Linked DNA regions of Macaca mulatta. The main gene of each other region encodes a partner of the protein of the gene in region 3 in a complex. Links are inferred from orthologs where the notes say so. Each region holds a gene or a part of one and is shown on either strand. Other genes may lie near its edges.

Region 1 (9,939 bases), on a different chromosome or scaffold from region 3:
GCCTCCCAAAGTGCTGGGATTATAGGTGTGAGCCACCGCGCCCAGCTGTTTTTTATTTATTTATTTATTTTTTGAGACGAGTCTCTGTTGCCCAGGCTGGAGTACAGTGGCCGGATCTCAGCTCACTGCAAGCTCCGCCTCCTGGGTTTACACCATTCTCCTGCCTCAGCCTCCTGAGTAGCTGGGACTACAGGCGCCCGCCACGTCGCCTGGCTAGTTTTTTGTATTTTTTAGTAGAGACGGGGTTTCACTGGGTTAGCCAGGATGGTCTCAATCTCCTGACCTGGTGATCCGCCCGTCTTGGCCTCCCAAAGTGCTGGGATTACAGGCTTGAGCCACCGTGCCCAGCCCGCTTTTTATTTTTTAAAACCTTTTATCATCCAGCACAAAATGTCAGGCTAACAGTTTTTTTTTTGTTTTTTGTTTTTCTTTTTTTTTTTCGAGACAGATTCTCACTCTGTCTCCCAGGCTGGAATGCAGTGGCGCGATCTTGGCTCACTACAACCTCTACCTCCTGGGTTCAAGCAATTCTCCTGCCTCAGCCTCCTGAGTAGCTGGGATTACAGGCGTGCACCACCACAACCGGCTAATTTTTGTATTTTTAGTAGAGACGGGGTTTCGCCATGTTGGCCAGGCTGGTCTCAAACTCCTAAGCTCGTGATCCACCCACCTTGGCCTCCCAAAGTGTTGGGATTATAGGCATGAGTTACAGCGCCTGGCCGGCCATGATGACAGTTTTAATCCCAGCACTTTGAGAGGCCGAGGAGGGAAGATAGCTTGAGGCCAGGAGTTGGAAACCAGTTAGGTAACATAGTGAGACCCCTGTCTCTACAAAAATAAATGTGGTAGTGCATGCCTGTGGTTCCAGCTACTGGGGAGGCTGAGGTGGGAGAATCACTTCAGCCTGGGAGGTGGAGGCTGCAGTGAACTGTGATCACACTACTGCACTCCAACCTGGGCGACAGAGATCTCAAAAAATAAATTGAAAAAGAGAAGAATGAAGCTTGGCCTCTGCAAACACGGCAGGGTGGCTAGTAAGGGGCTCTGTCTGCACTTGGAAGTCAGGGTTTTTTTTTTTTTTTTTTTTTTTTTGAGACAGAGTTTTGCTCCTGTCTCCAGGCTGGTATGCAGTGGTGTGATCTCAGCTCACTGCAACCTCTGCCTCTCAGGTTCAAGCAATTCTCCTGCCTCAACCTCCCAAGTAGCTGGGATTACAGGCACCTGTCACCGTGCCTGGCTAATTTTTGTATTTTTAGTAGAGATAGGGTTTCACCATGTTGGCTAGTCTGGTCTCGAACTCCAGACCTCAGGTAATCCGCCCTCCTCGGCCTCCCAAAGTGCTGGGATTGTAGGCATGAGCCACCGCCCCCGCCTAGAAGTCAATTTTGGTGAACTTCCCAGCCCAGGCTTGCTTTCTCAAAGGGCAGGCCCTCTGACCTCCTGCCTCCAGGCCTCTGTGTCCTCCCCTTGGCTCTTGGCCCTTTCACCTGTAGAAGTGGCCGAGCAGGTCAGAGGTGGGGGACCCAGGGGTGTGTGTGACCCCTGGCACAGTGCTTGGCACACAGCAAGCTTGCAGGCAGAGGCAACTGTCCTTATCACTCAGGGGCCAGCCTCCCTGCCCTGGGGCTGTCGTGGAGTGCAGGGGAACACTAGGGGCCTCCTGTTCCGGCCACACTGGCCTCTACCCTCCTGGGGCTTCTCTCTCTCTTCACCCCGTGCTTCCTGAGCCATTTTACCTTCACTGTCTGCCTCTTACACTGGACTGTGGGCTCCCAGAGGCCGGGGCTGGCTGTCTTGCCCACTGTTAAGTTTTTTGACTCAAATCACAGTGCCTGACTGTGGCATGTGCCCTATACCCATCTCCTCATCACTTGGTTGTGAGGTGGACAAGATAGATGTATGTGTGTGGGGTGGGACTTGAGCTTCCTCCCATGCCTCTGAGGGTGGGACAAGCGGGGCAGACCCGGGGCAAGATGGTTATAGAGACTCACATATACCCCAGTTTACACACAAGGAAACAGATTGAAACAGGTGCAGGCCACCCAACAAGGAAGTAGCTGTATCTGTATTGCCCAGACCCCTTCTGGCAAGAGGGGCGTGCCCTGGGAAGGGGTGGAGTGTGGATGCTGGTCTCGGGGGAGGGTCGAGGGGCCCCAGGTCACATCCAGCTCTTTGGCAGGTTCGGAGCAACCTTGGCCGTTGGCCTGACCATCTTTGTGCTGTCTGTCGTCGCTATCATCATCTGCTTCACCTGCTCCTGCTGCTGCCTGTACAAGACGTGCCGCCGACCACGTCGTAAGTGTGCCTACCCTGCTCCACTGTGACCCCCTGGGATGGCAAGGGGAGCTGACCAGGCCCTGCTTTGGCTAAGCTGGAGGGATGGGTGGCAAGCCTGGCCCTAATACCTGGGGAGGTGGAGGAGGGTCCTCACTGGAATTCTCTTTGCAGCGGTTGTCACCACCACCACATCCACCACTGTGGTGCATGCCCCTTATCCTCAGCCTCCAAGTGTGCCGCCCAGCTACCCTGGACCAAGCTACCAGGGCTACCACACCATGCCACCTCAGCCAGGGATGCCAGCAGCACCCTACCCAATGCAGTACCCACCACCTTACCCGGCCCAACCCATGGGCCCGCCGGCCTACCACGAGACCCTGGCTGGTGAGTGCCCCTGCTGACTCTAGCCCTGCCCAACTCCCTGAGTATCTGCCAGCATCCCTCGGGCACCCATCCCAGAGTACATCACTGAATAGGCCTCTGCCCCTTTCTGCTCGCCTGCCACTCATACGGCAGCCCACCATGCTCACAGCCAACCAGGATCCTCTCTGCTTTCAGGAGGAGCAGCCGCGCCCTACCCTGCCAGCCAGCCTCCTTACAACCCGGCCTACGTGGATGCCCCGAAGGCGGCCCTCTGAGTGTTCTCCGACCTCTCTGGCTGCCACTTGGTTATGTTGTGTGTGAGTGGTGTGCAGGCACGGTTCCTTATGTCCCAGCCGTGCTGTGTGTGTCCTGCCTGTATATGTGGCTTCCTCTGATGCTGACGAGGTGGGGAATGATCCTTGCCAGAGTGGGCTGGGACCAGACTTTGTTCTCTTCCTCACCTGAAATTATGCTTCCTAAAATCTCAAGCCAAACTCAAAGAATGGGGTGGTGGGGGCACCCTGTGAGGTCGCCCCTGAGAGGTGGGGGGGTTCTCCAGGGCACATCTGGAGTTCTTCTCCAGCTTACCCTAGGGTGACCAAGTATGGCCTGTCGCACCAGGGTGGCGCAGCTTTCTGTATGATGCAGATGTGTCCTGGTTTTGGCAGTGTAGCCAGCTGCTGCTTGAGGTGATGCAGGCGAAGCTTGGGATCTGACCAAGTTGGGCTTTGATTCTTTAGGCAGATGTCCCATTGTTCCCTGGAGCCTGTGTCGTGCCTGTTGGGGGTCAGGCAGCCTCCTGATGCCAGAACACCTCAGGCAGAGCCCTTCTCACCTGAGAGTTGTCTGCCTGGACTGTCCCCTGTCCCTGCATCTTCCCTGGGACCACCCGGAGGGCCACATCCACACACAGCCTAGCTGCCCACAGGGAGCTCTGCTGCCCTTGCTGGCCCTGCCCTTCCCACAGGTGAGCAGGGCTCCTGTCCACCAGCACACTCAGGTCTCTTCCCTGCCGTGTTTTCATTTTATTTTAGCCAAACATTTTGCCTGTTTTCTGTTTTAAACATGATAGTTGATATGAGACTGAAACCCCAGGATAGTGGAGGGAAATTGGCTCAGAGGAGACGGACAACCTGGCAACTGTGAGTCCCTGCTTTCCCCGACACCAGCCTCATGGAATATGCAACCCTGGTACCCCAGTCCAGGGTGTTCTGGCAGCAGGGACACCTGGGCCAAGGGGCCATCTGGACCAAAGGTGGGGTGTGGGGCCCTGGATGGCAGCTCTGGCCCAGACATGAATACCTCGGTGTTCCTCCTCCATTACTGTTTCACCAGAGCTGTCTTAGCTTCAAATCTGTTGTGTTTCTGAGTCTGGGGTCTGTACTCTTGTTTATAATAAATGCAATCGTTTGGAGCTGCTGTCCCCTTTCTTCCTGGCTGCTGGGATTGGGATCAGGCTGTACTGTTTCCATCAACCATTCGGGCTTCTCGTGTTTTCCCTACTTTTATTGAGCTCAGATAGTTGATCATCCTGCTAGGGAAAGTGAGGGACAAACACTATGCCCTCCTCCCCAGGTCCCTGAGTGTGGGCAGAGGTCTGGACTGCCAAGAAGGGTAGGAGCCAAGTGACCACTCAGTGCTGGAGGACGGGGGGGGTCTTTATTCTTCAGATTTTCCTTCTTGGCCTATTCCCCAGGTGCAGCCAGGGATAGTCCATACAGTGTGGCCACTGCCAAGGTCAGGACGGCCAGTAGACCCAGTGGTGCCAGCAGCCCCTCCCTGGGTAGGGCTCCAGGGTCCTTCATTGGAGGAAGATCCTTGGGTCTCCTTCTCTCTCCAAGGCTGGGACTAGTGTTCCTGGTTGTGGCCAGGTGTGCAGGGGCTGTGACAGCAGATGGTCTTGGCTTGGTCCCAGCAGAGGCTGTGACCCCATACATGGGCCTGATGGTGCTGAAGGGCCTGGCGTGAGCATCTACCCACCGCAGCAGGGCCTGTGGTCTCCACTGACAGATGCTGAGCAGGGCCAGGACATCACCCTCAGCCGTGTGCGAGTCCGGAGGGGACTGCCCATACAGGCGTGTGTAGATGCTGCCTAGGCTGTAGCTCTTCCTTGGGCCGTGTTCTGAGGGGCTGTCTGCTCGCTCCACGGCCTTCAGCGCAGTGATGCTATCCACACAGAAGGCACCATCCAGAGCACTGGTGAGGCCCAGCATAGCCAGCTCTGCTTGGAGCAGGGGGAAGTCATAGCGGTCACCATTGTGTGCCACCAGGCACCAGGGCTGTGGCTGGCGCCGCAGGAAGGCTAGGAGCAGGTTGGCCAGGTTGTCATCGAAACATTGACGCCCATGCGCTGCCAGCACAGCTGTGCTCAGACCTGTGATCTCGCTGGCTGCAGAGCTGCAGGCTTTTCCCGGAGCCACGCACAGGGAGAGCTTGTCCACCACACGCGGTGGTGGAGGAACTGTGGGAGGTGGTCCCTGAGAGGTGGGGGGGCTCTCCAGGGCACATCTGTGGACAGCCAGCAGGCACAGCTCCGTGACCTTGGGCTGGGAGAAGGGCAAGCCAGTGGCCTCCATGTCGAAAAAGATGAGGGTCTGCATGGGCCCCGGGGGCAGGGCCTGCGAGCCCATGGTTGGGTAGGACCTGCCGCTGAGCCTGGGGAGGAGCATAGGGTGGGTGTGTGAGTGCCCAGTGTTAAGATCCGAAGGGGAGGGAGTGGGGTAGGGGGTGGGCAGAAGCACATCTCAGGCCTTCCCTGCACAATCCTGCCCTGTCTGTGAGCTCCAGGGCCCATTTTCAGGCAGGAAGTTGGAGAGGGTGGGGTGGTTTCCTTAGTGGGACCAGCACATTCGACTGTCTGAGAGGGCTCCCTCTTCACATGACTTGGCCCCTCCCCTAGTGCCCCCTTAGTCTGGGGTCGGGGAACCCATGGCCCTCCTGCCCTGCGCCATCCCCTTGGGGAGCCACACTTACCGTAGCAGGCAGGCAGGCAGGCAGTAGTGACTTTGCTGCACACTCTCCCGCGGCTCTCGCTGGCAGCAGTGGCGGGAAGTGAAACTTGGTATGGGCCCGCCTACAGCCCCACGTGAGCCAGGCCCGCCCTGCTCGTCAGCCTGCCTGGTCTGTCCCTCTCGCCAACATCCGTCCCCCCACCCCCACTTCCCCGCCCCCAGGGGACCCCAGAGGCCTTCTGAGATCCACGGCTGTGGCCTGATGGTGGCACAATGCACCGGGCCATCACACCAATGACAGGCAGCTGGAAGGACCAGGGCAGTGGCGCCAGACCAGCTCCCGGTGTTACACACTGCTGGGAGCTCCTGCTGCAGCCCTTTCGTGCCCACCTGTGGGTCCCACTTTTCCAGGCTTTCCTGGTTTAGGCCTGGGCCAAGAGCCACCTCCTTCCCTGCCACACAATGGTTTCTTCCCATGGCCCCAGCCCAAAGCAATGACTCAGGACAATTCCACAGGCAAGGCAGGGCTCCTTCCTCAAGGCAGATCGGTTACCATGGGGACTGGGGATCAGCAGCAGCCAGGGACAGGAAGAAGGATCCCAGCCACTCAAGGTCCCGTCCCGGTCCCGCTCCACCCCTCCCACTCCGCCAAAGAGATTAGACTCAGGAAACAAGGCCAGCCGGTTCTCTGGGCAGTTCCTGCTGGTCACTGCTTTAATCAGTTGATGTGGTAAGGAAAGGAATGGTGCTGGTGCCACCATGTGGCTGGACACTCAGGGCCTCAGCCACACTCCAACTCGGGGTCGTCCACATCGGTTTCCGCGGCACAGAGGTCATCCAGGGCTGCCTCTGAGACAAAAAGGAGAGGTTCTTGGTGAGGGCCCAAAGGTGCCAGGGCCTAGGGCGGGTCCCACCTCTCCTCCCCCAACGCCCGCAGGAACTAACCAGTCCCTTCCAGACCCAGGCCTTGCTCCCTCAGCTACTGCAAACAAAGTGATACAAAAGCAATTCAGACACAGGTATTTCTGGAAAAACTGTGGCTCTGCCAGGCACATTCAACAGATAGGAGCAAAAGGCAGCCCAATATGCTTGGAGAAGAACTGGGGCAGAAGATAAAAGAAAATGACCCCAGTGCCGGAACAGGCTGTAATGGGCAGGGGCCTGCTGAGGGGATGCCCAGGAATATGAGTTGTTGGGGAACCTCAGGGAGAAGCCGTGGGGGCTGGGCGGGAGGGCCTCTGGCAGGCTCACCTTCACAGTCGGTCACGTCAGGAAGCCCGCGGATGAGCATGCTGACCCCCGGCATCACCTGGTCATACTGATGCAGGACCTCCACGCAGTGCATTATGAAGAGCTTGTCCTTCTGGGACAGGCCGTGCAGCAGCAGCACCGTGTCCCGCAGACAGCGCACTGTCCGCCTCTGCTGGTCAGTCCTTGGGGGCCCACCTGCCCTCCGCACTGTCAGCCACTGTCTATGCAACATCACCGTGAGCGCTCTGACCACCTGGGAGAGAGGGGGCACAGACTGTCTGGTGCCACCATGGCCTGCACCCTAACAATCCATTCAGCCTAGCCACCTCAGGTGAGGGGGTTTGCAGTGGGGTCTACAGTCCTTGCACAGAGTCCCCTTACCACCCACAGAGCTGCCAGCTGTTGGCCCCTGCCTACTCACCTCTACATTACACTGGCAGTTGGAGCCAGTGACTAGGGGCAAGGGGCTCTGCACACCAAGCTTAGCCAGGAGCCACACCACCTAGAACAAGAACAGATCAGCTCCATCGTGGGCAGAAGAAGACCAGTCCCTGTGAGGGCTTTCTCAAGCTTCTGTAAGAGTTCACTTACTTCAGCAACTGCTTGTCTGCACAAATGGGGTCCAAGAAGTGGTGTGGGACCTTCCCAGGGCAGACCCAGGACGAGCACCCATGTCTCACCAGCAACCCACCTGCCTCCAGCCCCCCATCCTGCCCCCAAGCCCCAAAGCCAGGACAGGTTCAGTCATCAGGCAACTCTGCCAATTCCTGTCTGCATTGCATCTGTGTAGTGCACAGCCCCCAAACTGAGTTTACCTCTTTAGCTGCTTGATATACTCGTTACTAAAATGAACTAAAGCTCCTTTTCTCCCCAGTAGAAAGAGGAGATTCTGTCGGTTCTTAGGATGGGGTGGGGACAGTGTCCAGAAGGGGCTCTGGAGTTTTTACCTCTTGTTCCAGCTGGAGCCATTGTGTCTCTGAGGCCACTCTGTCAGGCCGTGATGTGATGTACATGTACAGCAGCAGCAGGAGGCAGTCTTCTGAAAAGGACAGTGCACCTCTCACTCAGGGTGCCCTTTCTCATGAAGAGCCTGGGCTACATGCTGCAGAAGCCCTCCGAGGCCCTTGACCCTGTCCCCACCCCAACACTTCCCTTGATCTGCAGGAGCAGTCCAGACGCCCGCCCCACCCTGCTTTACCCGAGTGGGAACAGAGCTGAGGTGCCAACTGGTCGTGGTCCGCAAGGAGGGAGAGGAGCTCAACAGCCAGCACCACGCCAGGCAGGGGTGTCTCTGGGCTGAGGCACTTTGGCAGCACTTGGAACACACACTGGAACCTAAAAGACAAGGACCCAGAGAGAAGTGACACTCCCCAACCACAGCTTCATAACCTACCCTCACATTCCACTAGAGGTAACAGAAAATTGAGCAAGGCAATACGAACAGGTGAGTTGGTTCAGCCAGACTTGGGTTTCAGTGCTGGCCTGACCTCCACTTACTTACTATGAAACTTGTTTCATGTGAACAAGCAGGCACTTCCACTGCAAGATGCTGCAGCTGAGAGGACAGGCCCTCATCTGGCATAGCACTGCCCAGGAAGTGGGATGACCTCCTGGACCTGGGATGCCTGGCTTCCATATGCTCCCAAACAGGGATGCAGGTCCTAACTTAGGTGGGAGAGAAATGTTCTGTGCCCATAGAAGGATCGGCCAGGGCTCCACAAGTGATAAACATGGCCTTGGCTATAGTTGGATCTTATGAGACCTCTTGCAGGGCAAGAAAAACCATTTTCTCTACTTGTTAGAAAACGTATCTGCTGCCAGTAGGAGAATGTGCCTACTGTGGGGTGTGCAGGAGGGAGGAGTTCTGGGCACACTGCCACAGGTCTCAGGGGCAAAAGGAAAGCTATTACCAAGAAACCAAGCCCCAAGGCAACTGCTGCTGTTTGCTAAACCCACATAGCCTGGAGAAGCACGGTGGACTGGCCTGGTGGGTGGAGAGAAGAGCAATTCTGAAACACCCTGTGGGGACTGGCCAGCTGTGTACCCCTTCAGACATCTGCAGTTTCTTGAGCACAGAAGGTCAAGATATCCCTCAGTATGTCCTTAGGAAGCAAGGTCTCACTATGTGGGGTGAACTCACTTTAGAGCAAATCCTGCACAGCAGACAAAAAGTCCAATGCTTTTTAGTTGCCAGGGTGTGCAGACCTTTGCGGGAAGCTTCAATTTAACATGGTTGTTACCTGGTTTCATTACTGGGCTGTAAGAAGCCCAATATCTGCCACTTGCAGAAGGTATTGCAAGGAAAATCCACCTTTATATACAACACAGTGGTTTCCAAGTTATTTTTTGATAGTGTAATAACTTTTTCTTTTTTTTTTGAAATGGAGTCTTGCTCTGTGGCCCAGGCTAGAGTGCAGTGGCATGATCTCAGCTCACTGCAACCTCTGTCTCCAGGGTTCAAGTGATTCTCCTGCCTCAGCCTCCCAAGTAGCTGGGACTACAGGTGCCACTACACCCAGCTAATTTTTTGTGTTTTTAGTAGAGATGGGGTTTCACCGTGTTAGCCAGGATGGTCTCAATCTCCCGACCTCATGATCCACCCGCCTCGGCTTCCCAAAGTGCTGGGATTATAGGCGTGAGCCATCACGCCTGGCCCATAAGAACCTTTTTAAATGAAATTTTATGAAGAGCCCCAGTACATGAAATAGATAAGCACCCAGCCATGGCTATGTTTTGAATGTCCCTGTGGACAAGCTCAACAGGAATGGAATAATGGTGTGTCTACCACCAGCAAAAACATGGTTTCTGGGATTCTTTTTTTTGAGATAGGGTCTCACTCTGTCACCTAGGCTGGAGTGCAGTGGCATGGTCACAGCTCACTGCCACTATGCCTGGCTAATTAAAAAAAAAAAAAAATTGTAGAGATGGAGTCTCGCTTTGTTGCCCATGCTGGTCTCAAACTCCTGGGCTTAAGTGATCCTCCCACCTTGGCCTCCAAAAGTGCTGAGATTACAGGCAGGAGCCACTGTGCCCAGCCTGGGATTCATTCATTTAACAATTATTAAACAAATAACCAAGGCTGGGCCCAGTGGCTCAC
Region 2 (10,265 bases), on a different chromosome or scaffold from region 3:
GTAATCTGTGTCTCATGTTGATCTTTTTTATTTTTTTGAGACGGAGTCTGGCTCTGTCGCCCAGCCTGGAGTGCAGTGGCTGGATCTCAGCTCACTGCAAGCTCCGCCTCCCAGGTTCACGCCATTCTCCTGCCTCAGCCTCCCGAGTAGCTGGGACTACAGGTGCCCGCCACCTCGCCTGGCTAGTTTTTTGTATTTTTTTAGTAGAGACGGGGTTTCACCGTGTTAGCTAGGATGGTCTCGATCTCCTGACCTCGTGATCCACCCGTCTCAGCCTCCCAAAGTGCTGGGATTACAGGCTTGAGCCACCACGCCTGGCCGCTTTTTTTTTTTTTTTTTTTTTTTTTTTTTTTTTGAGGCGGAGGTTTGTTCTGTTGCTCAGGCTGGAGTGCAGTGGTGCGATCTCAGCTCACTGCAACCCCTACCACCCACGTTCAAGCTATTCTTCTGCCTCAGCCTCCCGAGTACCTGGGACTACAGGCGTGCACCACCACGCCAGGCTAATTTTTGTAGTTTTAGTAGAGACGGAGTTTCGCCATGTTCGCCAGGTTGGTCTCAAACTCCTGACCTCAGGTAATCCCCCACCTCGGCCTCCCAAAGTGCTGGGATTACAGGCATGAGCCACCGTGCCCAGCCCTTGTGTCGATCTTCTATCTCATCCTGTGACTAAGAATGCCTAGCCTCCTGGAAATGCAGCCCAGTAGGTCTAAGCCTCTTTTTACCCAGCCCCTATTTAAGATGGAGTTGCTCTGGTTTAAAAGCCTCTGATAGTATCTTATTATACTGTGCAGGCTGGTCTTGAGCTCCTGTCTTCAAGGGATCCTCTTACCTCAGCCTTCCAAAGTGGTGGGATTACAGGTGAGAGTCACCATACCTGGCCCATTCCCTTATCTCTAATTTCTGGCAACCACTAAACTAGTCTATCCTCCATGTCTATACTTATGTTATTAATATTTCACAAATGTTAAATAAATGCAATAATACAATATGTAACTTTTTATGATTGGCTTTTCTTCAGTCAGCATAAGTCCCTTGAAATCTATCCAAGGGAATTACGTATATTGCATGTATTAATAGTTTGTTATTTTTTTCTTTCGTTGAGTAGCATTCCAGGGTATGGATGTAGCATAGTTTGTTTAACCATTCACATGATGAAAGACATTTGGGTTGCTTCCAGTTTTCAGTTATAACAAATAAAGCTACAATGAACATTTGTGCACAGGTTTTTGTATGAACAGAGAGCATAAGTTTTCATTTCTTTTTTTTTTTTTTTGAAACGGAGTCTCGCTCTGTCGCCCAGGCTGGAGTGCAGTGGTGCGATCTTGGCTCACTGCGACCTCCGCCTCCCGGGTTCATGCCATTCTCCTGCCTCAGCCTCCCGAGTAGCTGGGACTACAGGCGCCCACGACCACACCTGGCTAATTTTTGTATTTTTAGTAGAGACAGGGTTTCACCATATTGACGAGGCTGGTCTCAAACTCCGGACCTTGTGATCCGCCCACCTCGGCCTCCCAAAGTGTTGGGATTACAGGCGTGAGCCACCGCGCCCAGCCAAGTTTTCATTTCTGTTGGATAAACGCCCAAGAGTGCAATGGCTGGGTCATATGGTAAGCACATGTTTAGTTTTATAAGAAACTATCAAACTTTTTCAGAGGGGCTGTACAATTTTACATTCCTACCAGTAATATGGATCCAGTTTCTATACCTCCTAAGCGTTTGGTGTATCACTACTTTTCATCATAGCATTCTGGTAAGCAGGTAGTAGTATCTGATTTTGGTTTTAATTTGAATTTCCCTGGTGGCTAATGATGTTGAACATCTTTTCATGTGCTTTCTTGCCTCTGTATATCCTGTTCAATGAAATGTCTATTCATGTCTTTTTCCTATTTCCTAATTGGATTTTTTTAACCTGTTGAGTGTTCAGAGTTCTTCAAATATTCAAATCATCAAATGAAGAGAAGGCCTTTATCTGATATGTGGTTTGGAAATATTTTCTTCCACTCTAGCTTGTTGTTTTGTCCTCTTCAAAAGGTCTTTCACAGGGCAAAGGTTTTAAATTTCTTTTCTGCAGGGCACAGTGACTCCCACCTGTAATCCCAGCACTCTGCGAGGCCTAGGTGGATGGATCACCTGAGGTCAGGAGTTTGAGACCAGCCTGGCCAACATGGTGAAACCCCGTCTCTACTAAAAATACAAAAATTAGCCGGGTGTGGTGGTGCATGCCTGAGGCAGGAGAATGGCTTGAACCCGGGAGGCAGAGGTTGCAGTGAGCTGAGATCTGCCAAGGCAATCCAGCGTGGGCCACAGAGCAAGACTGCGTCTCAATAAATAATAAATAAATAAATAAATAAATAAATAAATAAATAAATAAAAGGCCGAGCACGGTGGCTCATGCTTGTAATCCCTGCACTTTGGGAGGCTGAGGCAGATGGATCGCTTGAGGTCACGAGATCGAGACCAGCCTGGCCGACATAGCGAAACCCTGTCTCTACTAAAAATACAAAAATTAGGGCAGGGTGTGGGGCCTCATGCCTGTAATCTCAGCACTTTGGGAGGCCGAGGTGGGCGGATCACGAGGTCAAGAGTTTGAGACCAACCCGGCCAACATGGTGAAACCCCGTCTCTACTAAAAATACAAAAATTAGCCGGGTGTGGTGGTGGGCGCCTGTAATCCCAGCTGCTAGGGAGTCTGGGGCAGCAGATTCGCTTGAACCCGGGGGGCGGAGGTTGCAGTGAGCTGAGATCGCACCACTGCACTCCAGCCTGGGCGACAGGGCGAGTCTCCGTCTTAAAAAAAAAAAAAAAAAAAAAAAAAAAAAAAGCTGGGCGTGGTGGCAGGCACCTGTAGTCCCAGCTACTGAGTCACCAGAATCGCTTGAACCCGGATGGCGGAGTTTGCACTGAACCGACATCGTGCTACTGCGCTCCAGCCTGGGCGACAGAGCGAGACTCGGTCTCAAAAAGAAAAAAAACAAAACAAAACAAAACAGGAGAATAATGAAATTTTACTTATTTTATTTTATTTTATTTATTTTTTAGAGACCGAGTCTCGCTCTGTCACCCAGGCTGGAGTGCCCTGGCGCAATCTCGACTCACTGCAACCTCTGCCTCCCGGGTTCAAGCGATTCTCCTGCCTCAGCCTCCCGAGTAGCTGGGACTACAGGCGCCTGCAACCACGCCCTGCTAATTTTTGTGTTTTTAGTAGAGACGAGGTTTCACCATGTTGCCCAGGCTGGTCTCGAATTCCTGAGCTCAAGTGATCCTCCCGCCGCCGCTTCCCAATGTGCTGGGATTATGGGCGTGAGCCACCGTGCTAGGCCAAAAAAGTTTTAAATTTCAGTACGTTCCAATTTATCAACTTTTTCCTTTTATAGATTGGTCTTTTGGTGTCGTCTAAAAACTATTTGCCTGGCCCTAGGTCCTGAGAATTTTTTTTAACTCTTTTTTTTTCCCCATCAGTGATTTATTGTTTTATGTTTAAATCTATGGTTCATTTTGAGTGAATTTTGTATAAGGTGTGAGGTTTAGGTTGAGGTTCTTTGGGTCTATATTTGTCCAATTTACCCAGCATCATTTGTTGAAAAGGCTCCTGATTCCATTTTTGTACCTCTCCCCTGAGAGCAGTGGGAATGTTTTTTTGAAAAAGTATGTCAGTGATGATGTGATGCCTTGTGCAAAATCCGTATTGGCATCTCACAGCGTAAGATTTGGCTCTATTCTAACGGCATTTTCTACCACTCGATATCCACTGTAATACTTGGCTCTCAGGGAATCACTGGGCTGGCTCGCTCACTTCATGCAGGTCCATTCTATTATCACTTCCTCAGAGATTTCTCTGGCCTTTTCTTCACAGCACTTACATAATGAGATCTATTACATATTAATTTGCTTATCTGTTTCTTGTTTTCCTATACTCCTGTCCCTCCCAGAAGCTCCAAGAAAGCATACTGTTGTATCCCTAGGGCCTAGAATAATGCGTCCACATAGTAGGTATTCAATAAAATCTTTTGCTTGACAGGTTAGAAAAGGTGAATAAACACAAAGCGGGAGCGAAAAGTTTACTTCTAGGTCAGGCGCTTTTTGGACGTCATGCAAAGTGTGAGCGCCACCTCTCGGGAAGCCAATTTGCTCGCGAACAAAGGAAGTGAGTCAGAGAACCCGGGGGTGGAGGGAAAAAAGCAAGCAGCTAACCGGAAAGGTCTGAAAAAGCTAGCGCCGGAAGTTAAACAGTAGAAAGTTGTTCCCTAGAATGACTGCCTACTCCCAAGAGGAAGCGTGGGCGAGCGGTGTTCTGCAAAATGGGCTCTCCGGCAGCGGATCTGCGCCGAAGCGTTCCGTGCGTGCGAGTGCTGCGAACCACGTGGGTCCCCGGCGCGTTTCGGGTTCCGGCGGCTGCAGCCGGAGTTCAAGCCTAAGCAGCTGGAAGGGTAAGAGGTGTTCGGGATCCTGAGAGGGAAAGGAAAGGAGTGTAGTCGCCGGAGAGAGTTAGGTGAGGAGTTAGTGAAGAGGTCAGTTCAGCTCTAAGAGGCGGCGAGGAGGATCGGATGGGAGGAGGGGCAGGGAGCGCCTGTGGACAAGTGCAGACCGGTCGGCGCACATCCCATGCCACATGGACTCTCCTTTGTCGGTGGCCGCCTTTCTCGTCAGGCCGCGACGACAGGGCTGTGCCTTATTTGCCTCTGTCGAGAGCAGTGCCGGGAACGGAGTTGGCGTTCTATAAGGCCTTGCTGAATAAATGACGGGCGTGTGTGTCATTCATTCAGCAAGGACTGAGTGCTTACTGTTGTGTCACCGGGATCGATGTGGAGGGACATTTTTAGGATCTATTTCTGGCACTTTAGTCCTGTTTTCTCCTGGACAATATTCTTGCCCCGCACCCCATCGGGCGATTCTCCGCAGTCTTTGGGCTTTGTCTCTTTTTTTTTTGGAAGTTGCAGAGTGATGATAAATGATTTTCTTTGCTCTTATTGACTGCTAGGCCCTGTGGCTAGGTACCATAGACCTACACAGGAGTAAATCAGCCTGGTATGCAGGCCAGAGACCGGTGGGGAGGCAGACACACAAACAGAAAATTGGGCTACGGTGCTAAGATGCTGTAAGAAGAGGTTAACTAAAGGACAGGAAGGTGGGGCCAATAGGTGGAGCTGCTGTGTACATCAGAGATTGTCTTTCAAGGCGAGGGGCCTCCCATCTCAAGATGTGATACAGGGTACGTCATGAGCCAGTATTCTGTAAAATGAGGGATCTGGACAGAATAGGTACTCTCTAGGCTTCCTTTCAGTATGATGTCCCGTATCAGGTATTCCTAATGTCTGTAGCTCTCCCACACCCCACCGTTTATTGGCTAGTCAAAATATTCTTTGCATTGTAAAGTGTAGCATACATTACAAGAATGGATTAATGGGTTGGGAATGCTGGGTTTTGGCCTTCATTCTGGTGCTCTGGTCCTGTTTCCTCATTTGTAAAACGAAGGGGGTTGTAAAGATATATTCTCTAAAACCCCTAATGCTATGGATGTGACATTAAGTCAAACTATTATTTCTTACTGCTTTGTGCCAGACATCACTTTCACATTAGTAAAACTTTGTATCAGTGTAGTTTCTCCCAAGCTTGATTACTGAGAAAGATAGTTTTTACCTCCTGTATCCTAGTTCCACCACAGTGTTTGGTACACAGTAGATGCTTAAAAGAAGCTTATTACATCAAATGGTGGCCAGGCACGGGGCTCATGCCTGTAGTCCCAGCACTTTGGGGGGCTGAGGCCGGTGGATTACTTGAGGTCAGGAGTTGGAGACCAGCCTGGCCAACATAGTGAAACCCCATCTCTACTAAAAAAAAAAAAAAATACAAAAATTAGCTGGGCGTGGTGGCACGCGCCTGTAGTCCCAGCTATTCAGGAGGTTGAGGTAGGAGAATAGCTTGCCTGGGAAGTGGAGGTTGCAGTGAGCCAAGGTCACGCCACTGCATTCCATCCTGGGCGACAGAGCAAGACCCCATACCAAAAAAAAAAAAAGGGGCTGGGCGCGGTGGCTTATGGCCATAATCCCAGCACTTTGGTAGGCTGAGGTGGGTGGATCAGTTGAGGACAGGAGTTTGAGACCAGCCTGGGCAACATGGCGAAACCCCATCTCTAAAAAAACCACAAAAACCAAAACAAAAATAAAATAAATCAAATGGGATAGAAATTATAGTCCTTGCTTTTGGATCCTTTCCCACATTGACATATTTGTTCATAGATGAGGGGACTGGGGAGGAACTGGGTTTTTAGCAGAGGGAGACCTGCAGCTGACCTGACAGATTTGAACCAGCTTTATGGGATAATCCGCTTGAGGAGGATGACGATGTAGGCAAGTGATTCAGCGCCGTTTCATTCCTCTACCTGCCTATCCCCAGGACCATGGCCAACTGTGAGCGGACCTTCATTGCCATCAAACCAGATGGGGTCCAGCGGGGTCTTGTCGGAGAGATTATCAAGCGTTTTGAGCAGAAAGGATTCCGCCTTGTTGGTCTGAAATTCATGCAAGTGAGTGGACTTCATTGTTCCCATTTTGATTTCTTCATAGTATGGGAGAACACTGTGATTAACCTGTTTCTCCCCGGCTTTCTTATTTAAACTTCTTCATGGTAGAGTGGACAGAGTGGACACAAGTATCTAGAGACCTGGAAACACCTCAGTGCCTTAGCGTTTGGCTACGTTTAGGATTTTCCAAAATAGTCTCTGTAATATGAGGTGCATTGCTATGGGAAAAGCAGTGCAGAGTTCCACATATGACTGCATCTCTGTAATTTTTGACTCAGCTGAGCATGTTTGAGTTCTTGGTCTTGAGCTTCCTAAGCAGATAATTTTAGAGAGATTTTTTTCCCCCTTTGAGACAGGTTGTGTTTTTAGCAAGAAAATCTTCCATCAGCAATTACTAGACACTCATCAATGCTTATTGTCTAGCATTTATTAGGTACCATAGGAGCTTGTGGAGGAAAACTATGGTTTTGGTTTTGGGGAGGTTCTCCTGAAATAGCAGAGAGCAGATGTACCTGCAAGCTACTTACAAAGCAATCTTCTGATAAATGCAAGGGATTGATTGACCAGTAACCCCTCTTTAAACACATTCTAGAGATAAGAATTCAAATTCTTGGCTGGGCGAGGCACAGTGGCTCATGCCTGTAATCCCAGCACTTTGGGAAGCCAAGGCGGGCTGGTCACTTGAGGTCAGGAGTTCAAGACCAGCCTGGCCAACGTGACGAAACCCCATCTCTACTAAAAATACAAAAATTAGCTGGGTGTCAGGGCGGGCACCTGTAATCCCAGCTACTCGGCAGGCTGAGACATAAGAATTGCTTGAACCGGCCGGGCGCAGTGGCTCAAACCTGTAATCCCAGCACTTTGGGAGGCCGAAACGGGCGGATCACGAGGTCAGGAGATCAAGACCATCCTGGCTAACACGGTGAAACCCCGTCTCTACTAAAAAGAATACAAAAAACTAGCCGGGTGAGGTGGCGGGCGCCTATAGTCCCAGCTACTCAGGAGGCTGAAGCAGGAGAATGGTGTGAACCCGGGAGGCAGAGCTTGCAGTAAGCCCAGATCGCGCCACTGCACTCCAGCCTGGGCGACAGAGCGAGACTCTGTCTCAAAAAAAAAAGGAAAAAAAAAAAAAGAATTGCTTGAACCGGCCAGGTGCGGTGGCTCACGCCTGTAATCCTAGCATTTTGGGAGGCCGAGGCGGGCGGATCACCTGAGGTCAGGAGTTGGAGACCAGCCTGACTAATATGATGAAACCCTGTCTCTACTAAAAATACAAAAATTAGCCAGGCCTGGTGGCATGCGCCTGTAATCCCAGCTTCTCGGGAGACTGAGACAGGAGAATTGCTTGAACTGGGGAGGTGGAGGTTGCAGTGACTGAGATCGCATCATTGCACTCCAGCCTGTGCAACAAGAGCGAAACCCCATCTCCAAAAAAAAAAGAATTGCTTTTGAACCCAGGAGGCGGAGATTTCAGTGAGCCGAGATTGCACCACACCGCAGCCTGGGCAACAGGGAGACTCCGTCTCAAAAAAAAAAAAAAAAAAAATTCCAATTCTCAAATAAATAGGGGATAGTATGTTTTCCTAAAAGGGCATCAATTTTGGACCTTTCTAGTACATTTTAAATTTTAGTTTGACTTTCAATTTACTTACTATGTGATGTTTTAGAAAAATTGCTTTAGGGCTGGTGTGGTGACTCGCCTGTAATCCCAGCACTTTGGGAGGCTCCATCTCCAAAAAAATAAAAGAAAACTGCTTTAACGTAAAAGAGGGTAGACTGATGTTCATGCCGAGAGGAGAATGTGGTGTCCAAGCTCTAGGAGCTGGCATCTAATGTAGGTTTTCTTGCTGCATCATGCCATAACAGAATAGAAGGGCAAGAGAGTGCAAGAGTGAGAGAGAGCTAGAGAGAGAGCAAGAGGGGGTTGACCTTGATTTTATAACAAACCCACTCCTGAGATAAGACATTAATCTATTCATGAGGGTGAAGCCCTCATGACCTAAAACCTCCCATTAGGCCCCACCTCCCCACATTGTTGCATCAAGGATTAAATTTCCGACATGGGAACTTTTGGGGACACATATAGATCACAGCAGAAGGTAACATGAAATGAATGTGTTGTTGATCAGGCATTTACCATATGCTGGGCACATATGTTTCCTGATTTAGTCTTCATGCCAGCCTTGAGAAGTACTTCCTCCTGTGTTCGTGGTTGTTAGTGATGAGCAACCTAAGGCTTGAAGAGGTTCAGTGATGTGCCTGATAGCATACAGTGATGCCGCTGGGATTTTAACTTGAGTCTCTCTGACCCCTGAGCGCAGACATTTTCTCCTTTACATTGAATTTCCTTTTTTTTTTTTTTTTTTTTTGAGACGGAGTCTGGCTCTGTCACCCAGGCTGGAGTGCAGTGGCCGGATCTCAGCTCACTGCAAGCTCCGCCTCCCGGGTTTACGCCATTCTCCTGCCTCAGCCTCCCGAGTAGCTGGGACTACAGGCGACCACCACCTCGCCCGGCTAGTTTTTTGTATTTTTTAAGTAGAGACGGGGTTTCACCGTGTTAGCCAGGATGGTCTCGATCTCCTGACCTCGTGATCCCGCCCGTCTCGGCCTCCCAAAGTGCTGGGATTACAGGCTTGAGCCACCGCGCCTGGCCTGAATTTCCTATTAAGGATATATGGGTTTGGTGAAGAATGGATGGAAGGATAGCGGCCATGACTCTAAAGGGCTATTTAAATCTGCTGTGGAGGTAGGAAGCAAGGGAGAACTTGAGGTTCCCAACCCCCAAGCCCTTAAAAAAGCCTATGATCTGCTTGGCAGACTAAAGATCATCAGTTAGGGCCTGGTGTGGTGGCTCACACCTGTAATCTCAGCATTTTGGGAGGTCAAAGTGGGCGGATCATCTGAGGTCAGGAGTTCGAGATCAGCCTTGCCAACATGGTGAAACCCCATCTGTACTAAAAATACAAAGTTTAGCTGGGTGTGATGGTCCATGCCTGTAGTCCCAGCTACCAGGAAGGCTGAGGCGGGAGGATGGCTTGAACTTGGGAGGTGGAGGTTGCAGTGAATGGAGATCGAGCTACTGCACTCCATCCTGGGTAACAGAGCAAGACCCCATCTCAAAAAAAGATAATCAGTTAATCGGGTGTAGTGGTGCACACTTGTAGTCCTAGCTACTGAGAACCTGAGGCAAGAGGATTGCTTGATCCTGGGAGTGTGAGGCTGCAGTGAGCTATGATCATGCCGTTGCACTACAGCCTGGGTGGCAGAGAGACGCTGTCTCAAAACACACACACAACAAAACCAACAAAAAGATAATTGGAACCAATTAATAGAATTAAAAGAGTATTCTGGTAAGGGAGGGTCACCTCAGTGTCTGTTAGGAGACTTCACGACAAAAGTCTTCCATTTGGCTAGGAAAGGACAGGGCGAGGGTTGGATCCCTACCACGGAATGATTACGTGGCCATATAATTTTACTTTGGCAAGTGATAACTGGTGGCTGAATGATGGGGCTTTTGGGCTGCCAGTCTCCACATTTGTGTGTGTCTCTAATGTGTGCGATACGCGTCATACAGCGCAGTACCACAGAGCTGGAAAAACCATGGGACCCTGTTAGATTTGAACAAGCACATATGCAGTACAAGAGAGAACACAGCCAAATTGAGTTGAAACTGTTAAGCAGATAGTTTGTTCTCTAGCTAACGTGATTTGTTCCCACATATTAGCCTTGCAGTATGAGAACTTCT
Region 3 (10,433 bases):
GTCAAGGCTGCAGTGAGCCATGATCGCATCACTGCACTCCAGCCTGGGTGACAGTGAGACCCTGTCTCAAAAAGAAAGGAAAAAAAAAAAAAAAAGACCAACGCAGCAGAGTAAAACATGAAACATGTTCCTCCACTGGGTAAAAGTCCTCTAACACCTATCATGGCTATCTCATTTCATCATGTACAAATGAATTCAAAGTTTTTATACTATAGTTGCTAGGATCCAGAACTTCCAAAGAAAGTTTAGGGTATACATATACTCTCGCCTGAAAGGACCCAATATTTCAACTAGAAATACATTAAAAATTTACTAGTTTCTCAGAATGCATTAAATTGATTTCTAATTCAAGAGGCGTTGTAGAAAATGTTTTACAGATAGATCATTACTTAAGAGGTACAAATAACAATTGCCATTACAAAGCAGAGAATCTAAGAGGATTTAATTATTGTACACATAATTTTACTATGTATATGAAAGTTACAAATGCCATTTGCAAATAGCAAAAATATTAAAAGTTCCTAAAAAGTCTGATCTCTACCTCACATCTTAATAGATTTTAGTATTCTTTTCTTCATAGAGGTAAACCTCAACTCCAGATGGATTAAAACAAATCAGTAGAATCTAACTTAATTGTATTTCTATTTTACAACCAAAATTGCCTTAGGTCACTTTGTTCTATAGCTCCTCATTCCATTATCTGTCTTTAAGGCATTTATTTTTTTCCTTCACAGTCATATTTTAATACTAAAAGTAAGAGCTTACAGCTCTGGTTTTCTTCCTGATGAATGGTAAACAAACTTCCCTCATTGCTACTTCAAAATTGTCTTTAATATATTTAAGAAACTGATTCACAAAATTTTTAGAGACTTCCAAACAAGTGTGCAAGTGTTTTTTTTTGTTTTTTTTTTTTTTGAGATGGAGTTTTGCTCTTGTTGCCCAGGCTGGAGTGCAATGGCGCAATCTTGGCACATGGCAACCTCTGCCTCCTAGGTTCAAGTAATTTTCCCACCTCAGCCTCAGCCTCCCGAGTAGCTGGGATTATAGGCATGTGCCACCAAGCCCGGCTTTTTTTTTTTTTTTTTTTTTTGTATTTTTAGTAGAGATGGGGTTTTACCATGTTGGCCAGGCTGGTCTTGAACTCCTGAGCTCTGGTGATACACCTGCCTTGGCCTCCCAAAGTACTGGGATTACAGGCGTGAGCCACCACACCTGGCATTTTTTTTTTTTTTTTTATGAGACAGGGTCTGGCTATGTTGCCCAGGCTGGAGTGCAGAAGTGCGACCTCGGCTCACTGCAACCTCCACCTCCCAGGCTCAAGTGATCCTCCCACCTCAGCCTCTGGAGTAGCTGGGACTACAGGTGCACGCCACCATGCCTGGCTAATTTCTTTTCTTTTTTTTTCATTTTTGGTAAAGATGGTTTCACTATGTTCCCCAGGCTGGTCTCGAACTCCAGAGCTCAAGCAATCTGCCTGCAGCTTCCCAAAGTGCTGGGATTGCAGGCGTGAGCCACCGCACCCAGGCCTGTTTTTCCTTTTTAAAAGAAACCAACCATCTTAAAGCTGTTTGTAAAGATTTTGACTATTTTTTGTCTTTAGAGAAACAGGTCTTGCTATGTTGTCTGAGCTGTTCTTGAACTCTTGGGCTCAAGCGATCCTTTCACTTCAGCCTCCCAAGTAGCTGGGCCTACAGGGGCACATCACCATGCCTGGCTTATTAATTTTAAAAGTCACATATATGACTGTTTTCATCCAACAGTGCTTTTTGTCCATGACCAACCCATTGATAAAGTAACTACCCAATCATTAAAAAAAAAAAAAATCCTTTTTCTAAATTATCAAATACTTTATTAAGCAAAAGAAAATAAGGAATAAACTTTTTAGATCCCAGGCTTCAACATTATTTTGCTATTCAAATAAAAATGTAGTAGTTTTCACATTTGTTACCACAGATTTCAAAATAATAATCTACATTCCTAAAAACTATTTACATATACAAACAAAAGAGAATATAATTAAGCTGGAGTTTTTCCATGTCATTGTCTTTGGGGTTCAAGCAGCAGAACCATGATGTAGGTAAGAGTACTATGGCCGATTGCCAGTGATGTGATTCAAGTTCAAAAACAAAAAGCTGAGCTGTGGGTATATTAGCTTGACTCATAAAAAGGATGTTAACCAAAAGGTCTCCATCTTCAGAGACCAAACAAGGGCAAATGTGCTATTGGTGCAAAAGTAATTGTGGTTTTGCCTTTTTTTAAAATGGTAATTACTTTTGCACCAACCTAATAAAATGGCAATAGTAACGATATGGTTATTTGTAAAACAGTACTCTCCTACACATTTCAAAAGAGCCTAAAGATACTCATAGATCACAGGTCTTTAAGAACAAAATAGGCTGCTTATTTATTTGGAATGGTTCTTGATGGAGGATATTCTAGAAGGCGGGAAGATCTTTCCTCCCTTGGCCATCTCTCTCTCTAGGGGGTCAAACTTTGAATTGTATCTCATTTATTTTTCTCAGTGTGACTCAAACCTAGTTTCAGAGGTTAGAGATTCTACATCTTTCAAACACAATTCCTAATGTAGAATTACACAGTAGATAGGAACTCTTACCTGTTCCCAACTCCGTTTCAAAATTCAGCCAAGATTCCTTGATATAGGATTTCTTTTCTTTCTATATTTTCTGCATTGCCACTTAGAACACTTATTTACTCCTATAATATACAATAAAATGTAATTTAAAAAACAACTTTGTAAAATAAGGTATGTAAGAGCAGTGTTTTTTTGTTTTGTTTTGTTTTGTTTTTTTGTATTTGGTCATGTTGTGTGGGGCAAATACAGCTCCGCTTTGGCTGAGCTATATTCCTTTTTTTAATAATAAAAAAGCAAAATCATATGAAAATTTTCTTACAAATAGATGTATTTGTAAAAGCAAAAGAAAATTTCTTATTTCAAGTATGTAAGGAAAGCGGAAAGTATTCAATTGGTTATACATATACTTTTAGATATTTCAGTCTCTGTAATGACTGACATCCAGTGAAGCCTTCTTTCAATTTTCTAACATTAATACAAAAGTTATCAAAATGCATAAAAGTAAGATGCTTCTAAAAACAACTGTCACATTTAATGTTGTGATTTAGTAATCAGGTCATGATTTTTTCAACTCTAACTTTAATTTGTTTCTGTACTTTCTCTTTAATGGGAGAGGGGGTGGGCTTCTAAGTCTTCCTCTTGAGTCTTTGTACAATAAAGTGAGCTATTTGCTTCTATTTAGCAGAGTTGGATGGGGCATATCTCTGCATTTGATTGGTTGGTTTTTAAGGGATTACTCCTCTGGAAAGACACTGTCTCATATCGAATTGCTAGCAGCGTGGTCTTAACTGTGGTTCAACTTTTAAATAGAAGATGAACATTTACCATCAAAGAGAACACAAACTTCAGGACTCCTGTGTTACACAGATCATACACACTATATTGACCTGTTTTGATAAGGTTCTGTTTGAATACAACCCTAAACACCATCTCCAGAAACAACAACTGTCTCAATGGCATAAATCGGTAATTTGGGGTTTCTCGTGTATTACAAAGAAGCCAATAAAACTTAGAATAAATTCCAACTATACAAATAGGCTTCAGTAAGATTAACAAAATCTGAGGATGACAGGTAAGTCAACAAGTTAAATAAATTATACTATTTATACCCAGATGAAATAAAACAATGACTTCTAACTTTTATGTTGCATTTCCCACCTACTCAGAGTAAACATCAGACTTCAAATTCCATTTATCATTTTATCTGAAAGAATTTCCTCAGTCAAATCCTTAGTTGCAGGGCTTTACACTTGCAATCCATCAGGTTGCAACATTAAAGTTACTACAGCTTCTTCCCCAGTGTAAGCATTCTGTATGTGTTTTATTTACATTGTCACTTTTTACTTCCTCCTCAACTTTATATGTCTAAGAATGAAACTGTATTGCTATTATGTAACAGTATTTTAACTTTGCAACATACATACTGGTTTCTCTCTCCTTTGAACCCGTGTTCCTGAAAAATAAACACAATGTATCCGGAAAAACTATCTTGAGGTGTGTGGGGAAGAGTGCAGACATGTAGAAACAGACACTAAAATACAGTTGTGTGGAAAGGTAAGGATGTATCTGTCCTTGTTGACAACAATCCCCGTGGTTTATTAACAGCCACAGGCAGCCAACTTAGTGCCATAAGTCGGTAACCCAGTGGGCATCAGGGCTTTAGGGTCTCTTAAAACTTAATGTGATTCAAAAATACCCAAGGCAAGCACGCCGAAAAACCTGGAGAAAGTGCTCCAGTTAGAGCCTCCTTGGCAACCCAAACCGAACCAAATGACTCAGGTGGACGATTAGAATAAACCGTGCGCCGTTCTCTTTCACTAGGTCTATAAAGCCCATAAATTATGTTTCGTCCAGAAAACCAGGAGTTATGAGCACCTTCCTTTTCCACCTTTTAATATTCTGTATATCCAGCAACAGTTCTTAATCCATGGTCTTCATTCCTTTATTGCCTAAACAAGATCTTGGGTGTCTCCTGGTGATCACTTCTTCCAAGCTGACCTTATGTGACAGCAAACTGAAAAGCCTCTTCGTGGGAAGGGTCGCGACCGCGCGGTAAGTCATCCAAAAGTGGAAGCATCTTGCTTTTACTGACTTATGTATACGCGGGTGGCGACGGCGGCGGCCTGACCGGGACGAGGCCGGAGGGGAAGAGGGGCGCGGGCTGGGCGGCCGCGGCGGGGGTGACGGGGGCAGCCACGTTCCCCAGCGCTAGCCGCCGGACCCGGGACACGACGAGCCCCTCCCCGCATTGCACCCTGACCCCTCCCCTCCTTCCAGGCCTTTCATCTGCCCTCCCGCTGGGCAGCCCGCGGCCCCCAGACCTCAAGCCTCCCGCCTCCTTCCGCAACCCCGTCGCGCCGCCTCGCGAAGCCCTCAGCCGGGCTGGGACCCCGACCCGACCCCTCCGGCCGCGCCCCTCCCCCTCGTAGAACGCACCTGCGGCCCCGCCCCCGGCCGAACGCTGAGGCGGCGGCGGGCTGGCGAGGCCGGGCGGCTCGGCCCTCGAGGCACAGTCACCTTCCCTTCCCCCGCCATTCCGCCCACCCCCCTCACTCAGCCACAGAGCAGCCGCTGCGCTCCTCAGCCGCCCCGAAATCTAAAGGGGTCCGTCTCCGGCACCACAACCAAATGGCCGAGCCTCCCTGGCCGGCTGCGCAGCCCGCCCATTGGTCCCTTCCCCCCCCGCCGCCGCTGCCATTGGCTGTTGCCCGGAGACCCTCGGCGGCGATTGGCTCGGGCCGCTGCCGCTCGTCCGCGGGGCCGCAGATCCCGCCTCCACGGCGATCAGGTTAGTGTGCGCCGCGGGTGCTGGGGGCTCGAGAACCGAGCGGAGCTGGTTGAGCCTTCAAAGTCCTAAAACGCGCGGCCGTGGGTTCGGGGTTTATTGATTGAATTCCGCCGGCGCGGGAGCCTCTGCAGAGAGAGAGCGCGAGAGATGGAGATGGGCAGACGGATTCATTTAGAGCTGCGGAACAGGACGCCCTCTGATGTGAGCATTTGCCAAAAATATCTCTGTCGGTCCATTCTCCTACTTTGTGTGTGTGTGTGCGCGCTGGGGGGAGGCACTTTTTTCGGGGGGGGCGCCCGGGAGGTGCGGGTTTGGGGGTCGGACTGCAAGCGAATTGGCAAGGCTGGGGGGTTGCAATGCCATCCGAGCATGTTCCGGCTGCCGCCGCCGCTGCCCTTGGTGTGTGACTACCTGTGCGTGTGCTCCCGCGTGTGCGAGTGTGGGTGCGAGAGTGTGCGTGCGAGTGTGCACCCATCGGGGGCCGGCGGGCGCACGCGTTTGGGTCGGAGAGAATGAGGCGAAATCACCCTCGCAGATCGCTGCTCCCGTGACTCCGTCTGGGGGGAAGATTAACGAGGGAGGAGGAGGAGAGGGGCTGCCTCCTGAATTTAACAACAAAAAAAGGGGGTTTTACATTTTATAAATGTATCCCCCCTTCCGCCCCCCTCCCGCGCCTCCCCCCTCCCTTTCTCTCGCTCGCTCGCTCGCACACACAATAAGTTTGGGGCTTCGCGAGTCCGGTTTAGTTTCTGATAAATGTGGGCCGAGGGCCCCGGGGAGAGCGCGTGGGGAGGGGGCTGCAGCGGAGTTGGGAATGGCTGGAGTTTAAAGTGCGTCTTCATTTCTTTGCAGTGATGAGGCGAGAGACGGGGGAGCCATATTTGTAACTTTGTAGTGTTCGTGAACGCGCCCTTTCTCTCCCTCCCTCCCTTTCTCTGCCTCCCTTCCTCTCCTCCTCTTTCTCCCTCACTCTTTCCACCCCACCTTCGGGCCAGATGCTGATGTTTCTTCCTTTCCTTCCGAAGGGAGGATAAATTAGAAGGAGGGGGAGGGATTTTCGAACGTGCAAAGGCACAGATAATCCCCGCGCCTCCCTGCCTCCAGTGATCGCTGGTGCAAGTTGCCCAAAGGCTACGTCCCGGTCCCCCCTCGCCCCAGCTCCTTCCGGCCTCCCCAAGATGCCAGCCTTTGGGCCCTGGTGTCCCCCAGCTCGAACCCCCGGCCCGTCTTTCTCAGGGCTGGGCTCGTCGGCAGCCATTCGGCGCCTGCTTAATAAATGGGCACGGGAAACTTTGTCAGGACGCGAGCTGCCCGGAGCTGGCGCCGGTGGTGGGTACTGGCTGGGTCCACGTTTATGCGGGCATGGCAAACACGCAGCTCTAGGATGGGAGTTTGCCCGCTAGCCGCCGTTATTGATTGGGCAGCGGCGGGAGCACAGCCGGAGGAAACTTACACGGGTGGGAATCGCCAGGCTCGAGCGAAAGCCCACCCCCGAGGAGGGGGAAGGTGAGGGTGGGTGACTCGAACGCTGGTTTTTATTTCTGCCTCCCTCTCGCTTTCAAACCTGAGTGTTTTCGGCGAGTTGGCGGCTCTGGGGCGGAGACCCCGGCCAACTCCCCTCTTGGCCCCTCGGGGGGACCGGGGACGCGCTGGCGGGAGGACGCCCCCAGTCTCGGTGGCCCGAGCTCCACGGAGTTGGGAGTTTGGGCAGCACCGTGCGCTGGCCTGTCGCTCCTCCAGCCCGTTAAACCCGAATCCCCGCGAAGACAGGCCTCGCTTCCTCTTTTCCCTAGTTCCTCCCCCCAAACCTGAGTGAGACTTTTGAAAACAAGATCCTTTTTGTCTACCCCCTCCCCGCCTTAACGCAGCTGTGGACTGGAGACGTGCGAGTGCCTTATGGCGCGCAGGGCGGGGAGGGGGCGGTCGCGGGAGAGTAGGGGGCGCCGCCGGAGGAGGCCGGAGTTTCCCCGCACTATTTGCCATTGGTTTGCTTCTCTCCGGCCGCTTTCGTCCTGGCCGGGACCCGGCGCCTTGCGTTTGGGGGCTGGGTGTGGTGATGGGGGAGGGGGTCGGGGCCGCGGTCTTCCCGCGTACTTTCCGGAAGCCCCCTGCGCGGAGGGGGAAGGGCGCCGAGCGCGGGGTCGGGGTCGCCGCGGGTGGGTGTGGGGGCGCGGCTGGCCTGGCGAACCCGACTGACGCTGCCGGCCCCCCGGGAGCGAGCCGGAAAGCGGGTCGAACCGGCTCTTTAAACTTCCCCGAGTGTGTGTGTGTGTTGGGGAGGGGAGCGCACCGCGCCGTTCTGGGAGCGATTTCTCACGCTTCGCCCCCTCGCCTCCCAGCCTCGCGGCCCACACGCCTGCCCCCTGCCTGGAGGCGGGGTGGGGCGCGGGTGGCGGAGGAGGGGGCACTTTCTGCACATTTGCGGGGGTGGGGGAGAAAGCTAGCGAAAGAGGGACAAAAGGGGTGGGGGAGGAGGAACTGTATTTTTTTAAACGTTCTTAAGACAAATGGCTCCCAGAGCGCGCCCCCTGCGCCCCTCCCCGCCGCGCTGCTCCCGGGCCCCCCACACACCCACCTTCGGCACCTCTCCCAACTGGGCTCCGGGAGCTGGTGGCCATGCCGCGACGCCGAAATAGGACGAGCAGCCATGTTTCCCGGGGCTCGCGCCGCACGCCCCGCCCCTCCTCCCCGGCGCGGGGCGCGGGGCTCGGAATGCGGGCTCCGGGCTCCATGCGGCGCGGGGCGCGGGCAGGCGGGCGGTGGGGGTGCAGTACGCGCGGGGCCGGCCTTGTGGCTTCCCGGGCTGGTTTCGAGCTCCAGGTTTTATTTTTATTATTTGTTTTTGTTTGTTTATTTATTTTAACGGCTAGGCCCGCCAGGGGCTGAGCCCGAAGGGCGCCCAGGCGTTACTGGGGGGCAGGAGCCGCCGCCAGGGCCCTGCGCGCCTGTGGCACGACTGCCGGGCGCCGGGCTGCCATTTTGTCACCGTGGCTGTTGTCGCTGTGGGGGGCGGGGGGAGCGGAGTCTTGCGCCATCGCCCCGACGGCCTCCCGCGCGGAGGCGGCAGGGGGAGCCGGCATTGGGGACCCCCAGTTGTGCTCTGAGCCCCGATGGGGGTTTCCGCCCGGCGCCAGCGGCCTGAGGCTGTGCTGGAGCGTCACGGCGGCCGCGGCGCCGGGAGGACGACGATCCTCTGTGCAAGTGCCCCCCCACGCGCTCCCTGCCTCCCACGCCCTCCTCTCCGGGGTTTCGCTGTTCCTCCTGCAGGCGTTCAGACGTAGTTAAATGTGGCCTTAAGGACTAACCGTTCGCTCTGGTGTTTGCTCTTTCGGCGGAAGTGATAGAGTAAGGGGAACATTAAACATGAGGTTCTTTTGGCGGGGGTGAAGGGTGTCGCGCACGCGACTGTAGTGGCCCTGACTGAAGCCAAGGACAGCAGCCTCTTCCCCGGGAGGGAAGAGTTGTCGATCCGTTGGGGAAACGCCCTCCCGGGCTGGGCTCTCCGGGAAGGTAGGTCGAGCTCCGTGTTTCAGGTGGATGTTGCAGCGCCCTGCAGGCTAGGGGAACCCTCCTCGGTCTTAACCTGCTCCTTCGCCCTTTTATTTTTGCCTGGGGGAAGACAGCTACAATAGTAATGAGGTCCTAAACCGAAAGAGAGGGATGAAGGTTTGCTTTTGAAAAAAGTAAACCGCCTTCCTCCGGCTGTTGACTTAGGAGCCAGGCAATTCGTCGTGTCGGGTCCTCCGGTGCTGGCGTCTCTGAGAATTTTTAAAAGCCGGTATTTAGGTGCTGGTTAAGCACCTCACGAGCTGAACTCTGGTATCTGTGCAGAGACTAACTTTCATGGCAGTGTCCAGCAGAGACTGCCTTGGAAGCCAGCTTTTACTTTGACCTTTGGAATACGTCGCATGATGTTTTCCAGGCTGACTTACTGCCTAATTGGGTTCAAGTAGCGTGGTATTAACTCCAGTTTATGCAAGCCAACCAGGAACTCACAGGCAGAAAATTGAGCCTGAAGTTCCCGTATGGTCATAGTCAGTTGAGTTCTGCTGCTGATAGTTTGGAGTCTGGGGGGCTCCATGATGAAGATGGGCTTAGGAATTACACAGACCTGGGTTTGAATTCCCCCTGCCACAAGGAGGTAGGATACGTTTACCTGCCCTTGTGACCTTGGACTGGTGAGCTTAACCCACCTTTTTGAAACTTGGTTTCTTCACCTGTAAAATGAAATAATTCCATTTAATCAGTAAATGATGACAAAACTGGTTTGATATGACTCTCAGTATATGCTGTCTATATGACAGTGTTAGTCTCCGAGACATATCAGGGTGCTTCCAGGCATTACTTTGAGCTCCTCCATGGTTTAGGATAATAACAATATTAGCTAATGCTTACATAGCAGCCACGCTGTGTCTGGCACATTTCTTAAGTGGATTACATGTATCAACTAATTTAGTCCCCACAACAGCACTGTGAGGTAAGTATTATTATCATCATTATTGTGCATATGGAAATTGAGGCATACAGGGGTTGTCATGTGACCAGGGAGTGGCAGAACCAGGACTCAAACTCAGCCAGTCTGCATACTCAACCTCTACACACTCCTTTGAAACACCCTTTTTTCTTAAGATACCGTAAGGAAGAGCTTTTACTTCTCCAGCTTTGGAGTGGTGCCACCTTAGAAAGAGAATGAGTTTTCTATTATTGAAGATGCTGAAATGAAGAGTGGATAGCATCCTAGTTGAAGATGTTAGAGGGCCAGGAGGTTCAGGACCAGGGGCTCTGGATTATCATTTTATGAAGCCATGCATTGAGTTTACTTTAGCACATCACAGTGGGTTAGATTGAAGTGGATCTGGCCTTTAAGGTGCTGGGGGACACGTTTTGAGTAAGGAGAAGACAAGCAGGAGCTGCTCAGGCAGTCTGCATCTGCAGCCAAAAAAAACTCAACATAATTGGCATGTCGTTAGTATCTGGGACATAGTATACTCATAACACCTCATGGATCATCTCACTTAATCATCCCAGCAACTCTTTAAGGGTAGGCCAAGC

What was found.
Region 1: ANP32A (region 3) and TREX1 share a complex: the UniProt entries of both Homo sapiens proteins name them as parts of the SET complex. The link is inferred for Macaca mulatta from reciprocal best matches to the Homo sapiens genes ANP32A and TREX1.
Region 2: ANP32A (region 3) and NME1 share a complex: the UniProt entries of both Homo sapiens proteins name them as parts of the SET complex. The link is inferred for Macaca mulatta from reciprocal best matches to the Homo sapiens genes ANP32A and NME1.

What each region holds. Positions count from the first base shown.
Region 1 is NC_133407.1:111,871,508-111,881,446, reverse strand, and holds TREX1 (three-prime repair exonuclease 1), read right to left. Parts: upstream 6,199-9,939; 5' UTR 6,069-6,198; coding exon 5,754-6,068; intron 5,701-5,753; exon of another isoform or gene 5,614-5,700; intron 5,296-5,613; exon of another isoform or gene 5,271-5,295; coding exon of another isoform or gene 5,259-5,270; coding exon 4,326-5,258; 3' UTR 4,281-4,325; downstream 1-4,280. Other genes in the region: SHISA5 (protein shisa-5), read left to right, coding at 2,180-2,295, 2,449-2,661, 2,836-2,915; ATRIP (ATR-interacting protein), read right to left, coding at 6,373-6,440, 6,843-7,095, 7,264-7,344, 7,790-7,881, 8,041-8,177. UniProt on the Homo sapiens protein: Major cellular 3'-to-5' DNA exonuclease which digests single-stranded DNA (ssDNA) and double-stranded DNA (dsDNA) with mismatched 3' termini. Prevents cell-intrinsic initiation of autoimmunity.
Region 2 is NC_133421.1:58,847,601-58,857,865, reverse strand, and holds the start of NME1 (nucleoside diphosphate kinase A), read left to right. Parts: upstream 1-4,377; 5' UTR 4,378-4,427; exon of another isoform or gene 4,428-4,489; intron 4,490-6,393; 5' UTR 6,394-6,397; coding exon 6,398-6,523; intron 6,524-10,265. UniProt on the Homo sapiens protein: Major role in the synthesis of nucleoside triphosphates other than ATP. The ATP gamma phosphate is transferred to the NDP beta phosphate via a ping-pong mechanism, using a phosphorylated active-site intermediate.
Region 3 is NC_133412.1:46,394,690-46,405,122, reverse strand, and holds the start of ANP32A (acidic leucine-rich nuclear phosphoprotein 32 family member A), read left to right. Parts: upstream 1-5,382; 5' UTR 5,383-5,528; coding exon 5,529-5,582; intron 5,583-10,433. UniProt on the Homo sapiens protein: Multifunctional protein that is involved in the regulation of many processes including tumor suppression, apoptosis, cell cycle progression or transcription. Promotes apoptosis by favouring the activation of caspase-9/CASP9 and allowing apoptosome formation.